Macaca mulatta: one gene and its partners. Each later gene encodes a partner of the first gene's protein in a complex. Links are inferred from orthologs where the notes say so. Each region holds a gene or a part of one and is shown on either strand. Other genes may lie near its edges.

The links. The genes of interacting proteins can lie anywhere in the genome.
Region 2: the proteins of RIPK2 (region 1) and SFN are in contact, whole or in part, in a crystal structure (PDB 7OBS), measured with the Homo sapiens proteins. The link is inferred for Macaca mulatta from reciprocal best matches to the Homo sapiens genes RIPK2 and SFN. Residues at the interface, in NP_003812.1 of Homo sapiens: Leu535, Gln536, Asn537, Lys538, Ser539, Met540; in NP_006133.1 of Homo sapiens: Lys49, Arg56, Arg60, Lys122, Asp126, Arg129, Tyr130, Pro167, Gly171, Leu174, Asn175, Val178, Tyr181, Glu182, Ile219, Leu222, Asp225, Asn226, Leu229, Trp230.
Region 3: the proteins of RIPK2 (region 1) and NGFR are in contact, whole or in part, in an NMR structure (PDB 2N83), measured with the Homo sapiens proteins. The link is inferred for Macaca mulatta from reciprocal best matches to the Homo sapiens genes RIPK2 and NGFR. Residues at the interface, in NP_003812.1 of Homo sapiens: Gln437, Ser465, Arg466, Asp467, Leu468, Met470, Glu472, Asp495, Ile496, Gln497, Gly498, Glu499, Glu500, Lys503, Ile523, Leu524, Val526, Ser527, Arg528, Ser529, Pro530, Ser531, Leu532, Asn533, Leu534, Gln536; in NP_002498.1 of Homo sapiens: Gly334, Leu335, Ser338, Leu339, Pro340, Lys343, Val347, Ser354, Ala355, Asp357, Arg360, His361, Gly364, Glu365, Tyr368, Pro370, Ile373, Asp374, Leu398, Asp399, Leu401, Leu402, Arg406, Arg407, Ile408, Gln409, Arg410, Ala411, Asp412, Val414.
Region 4: the proteins of RIPK2 (region 1) and XIAP are in contact, whole or in part, in a cryo-EM structure (PDB 8AZA), measured with the Homo sapiens proteins. The link is inferred for Macaca mulatta from reciprocal best matches to the Homo sapiens genes RIPK2 and XIAP. Residues at the interface, in NP_003812.1 of Homo sapiens: His136, Asn137, Met138, Thr139, Pro141, Ile208, Asp278, Glu279, Arg280, Ser282, Lys285; in NP_001158.2 of Homo sapiens: Lys208, Asn209, Trp210, Glu211, Pro212, Cys213.

What each region holds. Positions count from the first base shown.
Region 1 is NC_133413.1:100,250,481-100,253,920, reverse strand, and holds the end of RIPK2 (receptor-interacting serine/threonine-protein kinase 2), read right to left. Parts: intron 2,157-3,440; coding exon 1,995-2,156; intron 1,873-1,994; exon of another isoform or gene 1,802-1,872; intron 1,450-1,801; exon of another isoform or gene 1,418-1,449; coding exon 1,080-1,417; 3' UTR 501-1,079; downstream 1-500.
Region 2 is NC_133406.1:214,122,291-214,124,770, forward strand, and holds SFN (14-3-3 protein sigma), read right to left. Parts: upstream 1,338-2,480; 5' UTR 1,273-1,337; coding exon 526-1,272; 3' UTR 501-525; downstream 1-500. UniProt on the Homo sapiens protein: Adapter protein implicated in the regulation of a large spectrum of both general and specialized signaling pathways. Binds to a large number of partners, usually by recognition of a phosphoserine or phosphothreonine motif.
Region 3 is NC_133421.1:60,513,321-60,517,283, reverse strand, and holds the start of NGFR (tumor necrosis factor receptor superfamily member 16), read left to right. Parts: upstream 1-1,163; 5' UTR 1,164-1,288; coding exon 1,289-1,354; intron 1,355-3,963. UniProt on the Homo sapiens protein: Low affinity receptor which can bind to NGF, BDNF, NTF3, and NTF4. Forms a heterodimeric receptor with SORCS2 that binds the precursor forms of NGF, BDNF and NTF3 with high affinity, and has much lower affinity for mature NGF and BDNF.
Region 4 is NC_133426.1:130,313,928-130,318,029, forward strand, and holds the start of XIAP (E3 ubiquitin-protein ligase XIAP), read left to right. Parts: upstream 1-1,302; 5' UTR 1,303-1,514; coding exon 1,515-1,779; intron 1,780-4,102.

The DNA of each region.
Region 1 (3,440 bases):
TTTCTTTTATTCAAACTTTTTTCAGGTTTGGGTCTGTTGCTTCTTGAAAGTTCATATTTTCAAATTTACTCTGTATCTCACTTTCTGCTGACTTTGCTATGCGGTTTCAGATAACGGCTATTATTCCTTGTAAGTTCTCATATAGTAATATAACCCATTAACCAAAAAAGTGCTCACACTGTACTTTTATTGTTTGGGCTAAATTTGATACGGACAAGTTAAGAAAATAAAAACAGTGTGGGTATTAGGCAGCAAGTAAAAAGAGTAAGTTAGAGCCATATCTGATCTGGAAGGCTGTACTATTAAATGCAAAAAGCAGGTTGCAGTATGATGTATTATTATAATAATAATATGCAGAAAAGATCCTTTCCCAAATGAGCATATGTTCTAAATATAAGCAGGAAGAAAGGGACAGAAGGATAAACATCAGGCTGTTAACTTTATTTAGCTTGGTTGTTGGTGACAGTAGGGAAGGCTGAGGTTAAAAATGGAGACAGACAGCCGGTATTAATATATTTATTTTTTCTTTATATTGTATTATTTTACCTTTGAAATATCTTTTTTAAAGGGAATTTATAAATAAAACTTTAAAATGTAATCCTATTAATGGAGTTTTAAATTAATAAGCCTTTGTAGAGCAATTAAGCCTGGGATTTTAGGGCAGAGATTCTGTACTGTTTCTGGTGGGTAAAACGGTATATACTTCATAAAATCAAATTGCATCTTAGACGAGTAACAAATAATCCACGAAGAACATGAATGTGAAAATGGCTTCTATCAGAAATACATCATACCTTAAGGCACTGTTATGAAAAAGAATAATAATTATTACCCTTTAAAAGTGGTTTCTGTTAACAAGAGACATAAAAAATTGAACTATGTAGCAAAATTCAAACTTTTTACTTGTATTAATTAATAAAAAATACTGCAGTGTCATGGAGGGAGACTAATATTTACCCAAAGAAGAACTTTCAATAAAGCTTTTAATACTCACGGATTTTATATTAAAAAAAAAGTCAAAGCAACAGAGATATAAATATCCTTTTATAAAACGACTTTTCTTCTTGAAAAACAGTCACTTACACGCTTTTATTTTGAAGTAAATTTAAAGATGGTGATCTAGAAACCACAAGTATTTCCGGGTAAGGCTGAAGACCCATTTGTTTATTATCTTTCAACTTTTGAACTATAACTTTGGCAAATTCTTCTCCTTGGATGTCAGTAGTGTCTAGTAATTGTCTGACTTTTGAGGTCCTTGTAGGCTTGGTACTAATAAGTTCATAGTCCTCTTTCATGATTAAGTCCCTGGACAGAAGGGCATCTAGCGACTGGTTAAGGCAGGCTTCTGTCATTTGGTTCACAATGTCTTCCCTTTTGCTCTGGATCCACTGCTGGGCGATACCAGGCTGCAGACGTTCTGAAAAAGAGCAAGGAATGAATATTTAAAAGGTGAGGACAGATACATAGCAATAAGTAAAATTCCATGAAAAATCAATAAAGCATAAAACCTAATTTTCCTATGATTGTGCCAATATTGAACACCAGTATTTGGGGGAATGCTATCATTTTTCAGGAAACACTCAGAGATTTGGGCTATCTCCCCCTCACTCCCCAGAAAAGGCACTGCCTTTTTATATGGTATAAATCTTGGGGCAAAAACCACTTTATGTCGTCATTCCCATCTTCTAGGATTTGTTCAGTTTTGTTTAATGTCCATTTTGTTTCAAATATAAAAGATACCTGCAAATTTGTTAATTAGTAATATGTTAATACCTCCTCTTAGTACTGCCTCCCTATTTAGATGTTCACAGAACACCATGTGGGCCATGTCATCGTTCCCATCTCCTGGGATTTGTTTTCCTACTTAAGAAGGTATATATTTATCATATTGAGGAAATAAAGACAAATAAATCTCACTGTATGGTAAACCCACTGAACATAAATATGTAAGCTAAATGGCATCACTTACAAGGTGTTTCACAGTAAATATTTACCTGAGTTTCCTGCAGTTGAGAGTGGATTTATTGTTGCTGAAGAGCATGGAGTGGTCTTGTGATCACAGAATGCAGCCCTTTGAGACGCAGAAATGGTGCTGTCCCAACTGTGATTTCCAGGACAGCGATGCAGCATCATAAAAGAACAGTGTTGAGTTTTTCCTACAAAATACAACATCTTCATTAGAGGTGGAATATGCCTTAGAAGTTCCTATTGGCTAACATGTCAACATCTGAGCAGACAGAAGGTAGGCTCCAATGTCTTTAGTTTCCACTAATATTAAGGCTAGTTCAGAAACCTAATTCTGCAAGTAGATATTTCTTAAAACAAAAAAGGGTTTATATGGCATGCTTTCACTACAATTTCTGTCAGCAATTGTCTGTCCTATGTAAATTATAAATCATAGAATTTTACTTCTTCACAAAGTCCCATATTTTTCCTGTGTCTTCTTACTCCTTCTGAAGTTTAAGTATGTTCTCTAAATCTATATATGATGTCTGTCTTTCTACTTTCTCTTCTGGGAATCCCACTCAGCCTCAGGGACTTAATCATCCCCTCTATTCCCCAATCCACACAATTACATTTTCTGTCTTCATTGAACTTTTGCCTTATATATTCTTTCTTTTCTTTCCTCCCTTCCTTCCCTCCCTCCCTCCCTCCCTCCCTCCCTCCTTCCTTCCTTCCTTCCTTCCCTCCCTCCCTCCCTCCCCCCCCATTTTTTATTTTTTGGAGTTTGTCACCCAGGCTGGAGTGCAATGGTTGCGATCTCAGCTCACTGCAACCTCCACCTCCCAGGTTCAAGAGATTCTCCTGCCTCAGCCTCTCAAGTAGCTGGGATTACAGTTCCATGCTACCACAACTGGCTAATTTCTGTATTTTTAGTAGAGATGGGATTTCACCATGTTGGCCAGGCTGGTCTCGAACTCCTGACCTCAGGTGATCCGCCCGTCTCAGCCTACCAAAGTTCTAGGATTACAGTTGTGAGCCAACACACCCAGCTGTGAACCTTAATCTTATATTTTCAAAAGCCCTCTGGACATCAACCCTTTGTGTGCTCCTAGTACCTCAAATTAAAAACAAAAAACAAAAAACATTGAAAGTGTAATGTTTCTTAACTCTAAAACTTGTTTTAACTTCTTCTTCTTTTTTTTTAATTGAGACAGAGTCTTGCTCTGTCACTCAGGCTGGAGTGCAGTGGCGCAATCTCAGCTCAGTGCAACCCCTGCCTCCTGGGTTCAAGCGTTTCTTGTGCCTCAGCCTCCCGAGGAGCTGGGATTACAGGTGTGCACCATCATACCCACTAATTTTTTTGTATTTTTAGTAGAGATGGGGTTTTGCCATGTTGGCCAGGCTGGTCTTGAACTCCTGGCCTCAAGTGATTTGCCCACCTTGGCCTTGCAAAATTCTGGGATTACATGTGTGAGCCACCGCACGCAACCTGTTTT
Region 2 (2,480 bases), on another chromosome or scaffold:
CCACTCCCAACCCATCGCCAAGAACTGGAGAGAGACAGGAGGAGTGTCACAGGGGAACTTTATTGAGAGGAAACATGGTCACACCCAGCAGACATGCTTTCCTTCAATGTCGGTCTTGCACTGGCGCGCGCGCGCGCACACACACACACCCATCTCCAGCCCCTGCCACTGTCCAGTTCTCAGCCACAAGGCGGGACATTCCTCAATTCCTACGACCAGAGGCAGCAGGGGCAGGAGTGAGGCAAGAGGGAGGGGAGAAGTAGCCTGGTCCTGGGGTCGGGAGGAAGCGGTGCGGAGAGCAGTGCTGGGGTCATGACCAGTGGTTAGGTGCGCTCAACAGCTGCAAGAAGAGTGGGATCCCCAGCCCCAGGTGGCCTCAGCTCTGCCAGTCCCTCTCCACGGAGCCGTTTGGAGTAAGAACAGCGCCTGGGGGAGAAGGGTGGGGCCTCCCACCCCATATTAGTCCTCTCGGCAGGGTGGGGGACTGAAGGGGGCAGGGCAGGGTGGGGCGGTGGTGGGCAACACTCAGCTCTGGGGCTCCTGGGGAGCCTCGCCCCCCTCTTCCCCGGCGTTGTCGGCCGTCCACAGCGTCAGGTTGTCTCGCAGCAGCTGCATGATGAGGGTGCTGTCTTTGTAGGAGTCCTCGCTGAGGGTGTGCAGATCAGCCATGGCCTCATCGAAAGTGGTCTTGGCCAGCGAGATGGCCTCCTCGGGGCTGTTGGCGATCTCGTAGTGGAAGACGGAAAAGTTCAGGGCCAGGCCCAGGCGGATGGGATTGGTGGGCGGCATCTCCTTCTTGCTGATGTCCATGGCCTCCTGGTAGGCTGACCGGGCTGAGTCGATGATGCGCTTCTTGTCGTCACCAGTGGCCACCTCGGCCAAGTAGCGGTAGTAGTCGCCCTTCATCTTCAGGTAGAAGACCCTGCTCTCCGCGTCCCCAGCCTCCTTGATGAGATGGCTGTCCAGCAGGCCCAGCACGGTGTCGCACACGCCCCGGAGCTCAGTCTCCACCTTCTCCCGGTACTCACGCACCTCGGGGCCCTTCTCCTCCGAGCCCTCCTCGTTGCTTTTCTGCTCAATACTGGACAGGACCCTCCAGGCAGCCCTCTGGCCGCCCACCACATTCTTGTAGGCTACTGAGAGCAGGTTTCGCTCTTCGCAGGAGAGCTCCTCACCTTTCTCCACGGCGCCCTTCATGAAGGCTGCCATGTCCTCATAACGTTCGGCCTGCTCTGCCAGCTTGGCCTTCTGGATCAGACTGGCTCTCTCCATGGCTCTGGGGACACACAGGCGGGCGGCGGGCTAACTGCTGCCTGGGACCAATGCCGGACTCTGTGCCTCTCCTGCTCTTGGCCTGCCTTTTGGCTGGGTGGCCAGGCCCAGAGAAGGGTGGGGAGGAGCAGGGGGCGGGACCAGGGCCCAAGACCTGCCTCCGTCTCCTCTCCTCCCCACACCCTTTCCGGCTCTGCAGTAAAGGTAAAAAGGCTGGGATGTGGGGGTGAGTCATCAGAACAGTCAGCAGAAGAAATCTGGGCGTGGGCCCCACCTGCACAGGCACCTTTCCAGGCTCTAGGCTGCCCCCTCTTGTTCGGGGCTGGCATCATATGGCTGCTCACATCAGGAAACTGCCTGGCTTCTCAAATCAGATCCTCCTTCACAGCGCCCTTACAGAGGCTAAGGGCGGCTTTAGCCCCTGGCTGCTTCTGCCTCGACAGAGCCCATAAAGGTTCAGGAGGATGGGGTTCCCAATCCTGCCAGGTAACTTCTCCCCTTGATTCAGGTGAGGATAACTCATGTTTAGGTAGGGCCATAGAGTTTCCCAAGCACTTTCATATTCACCATCGAATTTAATCCCCACTGTGTCTCTGTGACACACACAGGACCACAGAGATGGGAACACTAAGTCTCAGAGAGGGGTGAGATTTGCTCAAAGTCACATAGCCACCACTTCCCTGAAACTCCTTTCTGCACCCTGCTTCCTTTAGCTTTTCTCCCGTTGAAGTCTCTGACCTATGAGCTCCAGGCTGTGTTTGGAAGTGAGATCCAGGCTCTTTCTCAATCTACCTGAAGATGGTTCCATCCCTCAGGCCTCACTCCCCCTCAGGGTCCCCTCTGAGCTCCCAGAATGCGCAGGTGGCAGCTTTCAGAGTGCCACTTAATGAAGTGTTTAACAAGCAGCCTCTGACGCTCCAGCCCAGCCTTTGTAATTAGTCACCCAGTAGGTTTGTTGTACACATTTCCCATCACTACACAATTTTCCCTTTCAAGTTGGTGGCCTGTTGCCACTTGTTTGAGGATTTACCCTCTGGCCCTCCACACCAGGTCACTTGCCCTCTCCAAGCCACATGCCATCAGGTACCAGTGGGGTTCACAGAGGGTGGGGTCCAGCTCCCCGGCTGTCCCACTTTCCTGCCTGACTCAGACTGCTCTCTGTCTGAGGCTGGGAAGCAGTCCAGTTTGATCCCCCAGGGGGGACGCTA
Region 3 (3,963 bases), on another chromosome or scaffold:
GGGTTGGGAGGCATATTATTTGGACTTGGCAAGGATTCTAGGGCAAGACGAGTTTGGTCCTAGTACATGGATGGGTACACAGATATGAGTCCATTTCACCACTTTTCTATTTATTCCCTTCTACAGAACTTTCTTGAACCCTACTGTATACCAGGAATTCAGAGAAGAAACCATAATCCCTGCCTGCAGAGCTCATAAGCCCATGGAGACACTCACAGTCTGGTGAAGTTTATATTGTTGAAGATGCATCTGTTTGTTTGTTTATGGGTGTCAGTGTGTGTGTGAGCTCATGAATGTGTGTGTGCTTGTGTGACTGTATACGTGTGAGGACTTATGCAGACGCGACAGTATACATGCATGTGTGAATGCGTAGGTGTGTGCATTTGAATGTCCGGATCACATATGTGCCCGTGTGCAGGCCTGGAGACGTGCATGTATATGATAGTCAGGTCGGCAGGAGTGCATGAGGACGGTGTGGGCACACGTAAGTGCACAATCACACATACAGGTGAGCTTGAGAGTGTGTATTCCTGTGCATTGTGTGCACACCTGTGACCCCTTCAAACCCCTCATTTGAGAATCAAATGATGTTGGAATGGACTCCACCTTGAATGTCGATGGCCGAGGTCAGGCCGCCTGCGCCCCTCCCCTCCCCCAGGCCTCTGCCCAGGGATCTCCTGCACTGGGAAGGGGAGGGGTGGGAATAGGGGAGGAGGTGGGGTGATGGGCGTAGATGAAGGGCAGGGAGGGCAAGCGGGCATTCTTACTGATAGGGGCCAGGTAGGGAGCAAGGCTCCAGGGAGAAGGCGAAGCCAGAGACGGAGGAAGATGGGTAAGAGAGTGAACCCTGTGGCGGGCCGCAGCCGGAGAGGAACAGAAACCGCAGTGGGGACGCCCTGGTCCCCGGGCCCACAGCATCCGGGACGGACGCGCAGTAGTGCGGGCCGGGAACTGGGTACCAGGGCGGGATGGGTGAGAGGCTCTAAGGGACAAGGCGGGGAGAAGCGGCAGCGGGGTGCGGGGAACCGCACGCCCTCCCTTTGCCTCCGCTCCCCACCCCGAGGCAGCGGGGCGGGCGGGCGCGGTTCCGGGGGTGGGCGGGCTGGGCGGGGCGGAGGCGGGGCCGCAGCACTGGCTTCACCCAGCCTCTCCCGCCCGCAGTCAGAGCGAGCTGAGCCGCGGCCAGCTCCGGCGGGCCGGGGGGGCGCTGGAGCGCAGCGCAGCGCAGCCCCATCAGTCCGCAGAGCGGACCGAGCTGGAAACCGAGCGCTGCCGCGGAAGGCGGACGATGAGGGCAGGTGCCACCGGCCGCGCCATGGACGGGCCGCGCCTGCTGCTGTTGCTGCTTCTGGGGGTGAGTGCTAGCCGGAGGGGGGCCTCTCCCTTTCCCGGGATCAGAACTCCGAGGAGAGCCGGGCGGCGCCACCAAGGAAACAGAACAGAGCGCTGGGGTCCCAGATGCTGAGGGTGGGTGGTGGGACAGGGTCTCTGATGCCGGGACCACGAAGGAGGGTCTAGGGTTCCCGGAACGCAGAGGCGACCCTCCAGGGTGGAGATGCGGGCAAGACCGGAGCGCGGTTTCGGGTCCTCAGGTACCGCAGGGGGCGGTGGAGGAGCTGGGAGGGGTCTTTCAGGAGGGGGCATGGGGTTCTCGGATGCCTGGGTTCTTCGGAAGAGGACACTCGAATGTCGGGATCCCGAAGGGACTTTCCCCTCAGCATCTCGGTCTCTGGAGAGTCGTGGGACGGAACCAAGGCGAGAGAAGGAGGGGGAACTGGACGGGGACTAGAGATGTGAGGGGTGAGCTGGGTTGGGGCGGGGAGCCCAGGACGAGGGGATGGAACAATGGAGGAGGTCGGAGGGACTGGAGACAGAGGGGACCTGACAAGGACAATGGGGACCGGCCAGACAATGGGGGGGAGGGGCGTCGGAGGGAGAGGTTGGGGAGCTGGAGAGCGGCTGAGAAGTGGGTTAGGGAGGGCAGAAGAGGAACGACAGCGAGGGCGGCAGAGAGATGGGAAGCAAAAGGAAAGCAGACGGAGCGGGCCGCGGACCCTAAAGCGGTCGGGGTCCCGCCTGCCAGCTGAGGGATAGTGAGAGAAGAAGAGCGCGGAGGCTTGGACATTTCCAGCGCCTGTCCCGGCGCTCCTGCCCGCGGCCTCGCCCAGTCCTGGAATTGCGGCTGGGGATCTAAGGCTGGGAGGGGAGTGCCCACTTCGCCGGGGCGAACCCGCTCTTGGGGTTCCCCCACGGCCGACGGGCTCCTCCGACGCTCGTGTTCTCACGGCTTGAAGCAGCGCGGCGGATCGCGAGGGACGGACCAGGTGTGCTCCTACCCGGGCTGGCGGTGGCTACATCTCGGGGTGCAGAGCGCCCGGGCGCGCTAGGCGGGGACCCGTCCCGAAAGCGCGCCGCTCTGGCTGCGCAGGCGGGAGGCGGCCGGCAGGAGGCGCTGCGGGGCGAGACAAGTGCAGTCCGCGGCTGCTGAGCGTCTGGGGCTGCGCGCCTCCCCCAACCCAGCTGCGCGACCCGAGCGCCGCGCCCACAGCGCTCCGTGGGCTCCAGCTCCTCGAAGGGTCAGGATCCGGTCTGCGCCTCGCCTGGCTCTCGGTGCAAGCCGCTGGGCACCTAACGAGACGGGAGCGCGCGGACGCCTCGGATTCTGCCGCGCGGTGTCCCGAGCCACTGACTCGGCAAAGGTCGGCGGGTCCTCCGGGCGGTCCGAGGAGATTGTCAGAGGTGGCCTGCTGTATGGCCATGAACCGAATGCCCTGGAAGGTCTGGCAATGGAGGAGGCGTCTTCACTCTCCCTGCCAGCGTCTTTCATCTGAGCACTGCGCACCAAATCTCGGCTTTACAGATACGGAGACTGAGACTTTGAGAGTTTTAACGACTTGGCCGAGATCTCACAGCAAGTTGGGCCAGAGTCGTGGCTAGACTCCCCCGACCTGAGTCCCAACTCGGTACTCCCCCATCTTTTCAGGGGGTAGCCGCTGTCCCAGATCGGGGTCACGGCTGCGTTTTCCAGAAGGGGCGGGGTTGACACTGTCCCCAGAGTCAGGCGGCGGTAGAGCCTGCGGGTGAGGTGGACAGAGATCCTGTCCGGGTGCGGGCCCCAGTCCGAAAGCTCAGCCCGGGTTCCCTGGAACTGTCAGGACTTGTGGCTGAGTCCGGGGATTTGGGAGCGACCGCGGGCACATCTGCTGACTAACCCCGCTGGTTAGAGACGCTGCCTGGACGCGAGTGGGCGAGCGTGGACCAGAAGGGGGGGTAGGAGGGACCGGGGTGGTCTCTAGTCCCGACCCCAGAGGGGCGACTACGTGGGATCCGGGTCTGGGCAGGAGCGAGGGTCCAGGCGCGAAGACCCAGAAGGAGGGGAGCTGGGCATGGAGGGCCTGGGCGCTGGGGAAGGTGGACCTGCCGTCTGCAGCCCCTGCGGCTCCCGCCTCCGCCTCCGAGGACGGCTGCTCCGTCTGGGCTGGCTGTGCGCGGTACGAGTTTCTTCCTGGGACGCGGCGCGAGAGAGAGGGCTGAAACCAGAGCGCGTCCCGGCGGGTCTGCTGGCGGGCCGCGCCGGTAATGGAGGCACTTTGTCATTCAGACGTCTGTAACCAGAGCCGCTGGGCTGGCTAATGCGCCTAATAGGGATGGAGCGAGGGCAGCAAATGGGCGTGCGTGAGCGGCCGGGCTGGGCTGGGGTGGATGGTGGATGGGGAGGCAGCTCCGTGGGGGGACGGGCCCCCACCCCACTGTACCAGCCCAGTCGGGCTCAAGCGCCTCGCTTCTTCCCTGGAGGACCGCGTGGGGAGGCGGGAAAAATCGAATGTGCTGAGTTCCTACTACGTGCCTTGCCCTGGTACTTTCTCTTGAGTTATTTAATCCTTATAAGGTCCTAGCAAGGTGAATTTCGCTATTCCCACTTCGCAGATGAGGAAACAGAGCCCTGCAGACTTTCAGGCCCGA
Region 4 (4,102 bases), on another chromosome or scaffold:
TCTTAAACTCTCTGGTAATTCTGTTTTTTCCTCCTTCTCAAAAAGCTCACACTCTGCTAATGTGTATATATTGTTCACTTGAGTGCTTCTAAATAAATATTTACTTTTCAAAAGAGTGAAATCTGAACTATTAGCATGGAAACAACCTCTGGGAAGACAAGATCTCCACTCAAAAGCTTCAAATTGAGATTCTCCTGCTCATGTTGAATGATGGTTTTATCTAATATTTTCTGAAATAGGGTGACTACTTGAACTACACAAAATTGTGAAATGAGAATATCTTTGATTTTATACTTTGTTTTTTCTTTTTTTGAGATGAAGTCTTACTCTGTCACCTAGGCTGGAGTGCAGTGGCACAATCTCGGCTCATTGCAACCTCTGCCTCCCAGGTTCAGGTGATTCTCGTCCCTTGGCCTCCCGAGTAGCTGGGATTACAGGCGTGTGCCACCATGCCTGGCTAATTTTTGCATTTTTTGGTAGAGATGGGGTTTCACCATGTTGGCCAGGCTGGTCTTGAACTCCTGACCTCAAGTGATCCACCCACCTTAGCCTCCCAAAGTGTTGGGATTACAGGCATGAGCCACTGTGCCTGACCACTTACATCTATTTTGATTGACTTGAAATAAAATTTAACACCCCAGGGAAGGCAATTCTCATGTGTTTTGAATTATACTGAGCATTAATTCTTCAGGATAATTATAGACTTGGAAATGTTTAATCCAGTCTCCTAGTCCATGCTGAAGCTCCTTTAAGTGATAGGAGGAACTCATAATCTACAAGGCAACCCAATCCATTTGTTGCTATATCAATTGTTATAAAGCTCATCCTTGGGTTAAAATTGGCTGTTTATAGTTGTATTTAATGACCTTAATTCTGCCCTCAAGCTATACAAAATGTGGATCTCTTTTCTACATGATAACCTTTTAGATATCAGTCTATCCTCCCTACCCTTCCCCTCACAATTTTTCCACCCTTTGCGATAAATATCCTTTGCTATTCTAACTATTTCTCATATGATATCATTTTTATCATCCCAATTGCTCCCTAAGGACATTAAACTTTGTTAATGTCCTTTCCAAAATGTATTTGGAACTGGAAATAATATCCCTTGGTAGCTGAATTGGATCTGGATGTTGCACATCTGGACACTAATGCAGCCTGAAGTTGCTGTAAGTTTTTTAGTCAACTTGTAATGTTGGCTCATGATGAATTTGTAATTAATTAAAATTCCAAGGTTTAATCTGGAGGATTGCCTTTATGTGATTTTTTCTTAAACCAAGTCTCCATTTTCTTTTAGTTATGCAACAGATTTTTTTTTTTTTTTTTTTTTTTGAGACGCTCGCTCTGTCACCCAGGCTGGGGTGCAGTGGCACGATCTCAGCTCACTGCAACCTCCACCTCCTGGGTTCAAGCAATTCTCCTGCCTCAGCCTCCCGAGTAGCTGCGATTACAGGAGTCTGCCACCACGCCTGGCTAATTTTCTTTGTTTCTTTTTTTTTTTTTTTAAAGTAGAGATGGGGTTTCTCCATGTTGGTCAGGCTGGTCTTGAACTTCTGACCTCAGGTGACCCACCCTCCTTGGCCTCACAAAGTCCCGGGATTATAGGCATGAGCCATTGCACCCGGCCCTTTTTTTTTTCTTTCTTTCTTTTTTTGAGATGGAGCCTCACTCTGTTGCCCAGGATGGAGTGCAGTGACATGATCTTGGCTCACTGCAACCTCCGCTGCCCGGGTTCAAGGGATTCTTCTGTCTCAGCCTCCCGAGTAGCTGGGATTACAGGTACCTGCCACCACGCCTGGCTAATTTTTGTATTTTTAGTAGAGATAGGGGTTTCACCATGTTGGCCAGGCTGGTCTCAAACTCCTGACCTCAAGTTATCCGGCTGCCTTGGCCTCCCAAAGTGCTGAGATTATAGGCATGAGTCACTGCACCCGGCCTATGCACCAGATATTTTTAAAAAACCAGATGTAAGACTTTACACTTACCCCTATTAAATGTTATCTCATTAGCCTATCAGGTAGCTTTGGTTTTTTACTTTTATTTTATTTATTTATTTATTTTTTTGAGACAAGAGTTTCGCTCTTGTTGCCCAGGCTGGAATGCAATGGTGCGATCTCCGCTCACTGCAACCTCCGCCTCCTGGGTTCAAGTGATTCTCCTGCCTCAGCCTCCCAAGTAGCTGGGATTACAGGCATGTGCCACCACGCCTGGCTAATTTTGTGTTTTTTAGTAGAGACGGTTTCACCATGTTGGTCTAGCTGGTCTCGAACTCCCGACCTCAGGTGATTTGCCCACCTTGGCTTCCCAAAGTGCTGGGATTACAGGCGTGAGCCACTATGACCGACTGGTTTTTTTCTTAAGACTAGTCAAGTGCAGAGTGAGAAGAGGGAAAAGAGTAGAACAAGGGGTTTGATCAGCCTTGGTTTCTTTGAATCTTGATTTTTGTCATTCGGTTTATTATGCTGATTCAACAGAGGGCCCTGAAGCTAATGTTGGAATGTTTTCAGACATCTAGGAAATGATAATTCATCAAAAGTCATGGAGACTATTCCAAAAGTTTTATGCAGATATAACTCAGCTGTTGAGGTATGAGTTAATACCACTATAAGTTGACATGGCCAGGAAAGACAAGTCCATTGCCAACTTGCTTTGTGTTGAACATTACTCCAAAAGAGATTAAATTCTAAGACATATTGTGTCAACATAAAGGCAAAAGAGCTGGCTAATTCTTCTCAAGAAATCAATGGCTCGACCTTTTGGCTCATGCCTGTAATCCCAGCATTTTGGGAGGCCGAGGTGGGGGATCACCTGAGGTCGGGAGTTCAAGACCAACCTGACCAACCTGGAGAAACCCCGTCTCTGCTAAAAAATACAAAATTAGCTGGGCATGGTGGTGCATGTCTGTAATCCCAGCTACTTGAGAGGTTGAGGCAGGAGAATCGCTTGAACCCAGGAGGCAGAGGTTGCAGTGAGCCAAGATCACGCCATTGCACTCCAGCCGGGGCAACAAGAGCAAAACTCCATCTCAAAAAAAAAAAAAAAATCAATTAATGCACATATAATATAGAGACAGAGTTCTTGTTACCATTATTTTGCCTTTGACAAGTTTATATTGAGCACATTATCAGGCAATGTGGGAGATTCTGGAGAACCAGGTTTGCCTCATAGCTAGGGTTACCATATGCTCTAGTTTGCCTGGGGCAACCCTGATTTATGCCTGTTGTCCCAGTGTGATTATTGCTAGTGTGATTTTTCACTTTGAGAAGTGTCCAGGTTTGGAAGATAAATTATCTTGCTATCCTTCTCATAACCTAATGGGTTCTCTTTAGTATTTTATCTGGGTTAAAATTACACAGCTGTAATTTGGCAGCTCTAATAAGACTGCAACAATACTTATCTTCCATTTGAACAGATTGTTACTTGACCAAGGGGAAGTTTTGTTTTTTTTTTTTTTTTTTTGAGGCGGAGTCTCGCTCTGCCGCCCAGGATGGAGTGCAGTGTTGCGATCTCGGCTCACTGCAAGCTCGGCCTCCTGGGTTCACGCCATTCTCCTGCCTCAGCCTCCCCAGCAGCTGGGACTACAGGCGCCCACAACCATGCCCGGCTAATTTTTTGTATTTTTAGGTGAGACGGGGTTTCACCCTGTTAGCCAGGATGGTCTCAATCTCCTGACCTCGTGATCCGCCCGCCTCGGCCTCCCAAAGTGCTGGGATTACAGGCATGAGCCACTGCGCCTGGCTACCAAGGGCAGTTAATAGCAAAAGTAACTGCAGGGCACATGTATGTCATGGGCAAAAAAAAAAAAAAAAAAAGCAATTAAGGTTTGCAGGTACTTAGAGTTTCTCCTGAGCCACTCTCTAGAGGGCAGTATTACATATATATCTGTAATTATCCAGTTACAACAAAAAAGGGGATCTGGTTCATGCATGAAAATCAGAAATATTTCATACTCTTAAAGAACACATTGGAACCAATATTATGATTAAAACATATTTTGCTAAGCAAAGAAATATTAAAATTAATTCATTAACATTCTGAACATTTTTTAATTTGTAAAAACTGAACTTTGATGCCTTGAATATATAATGATTCATTATAACAA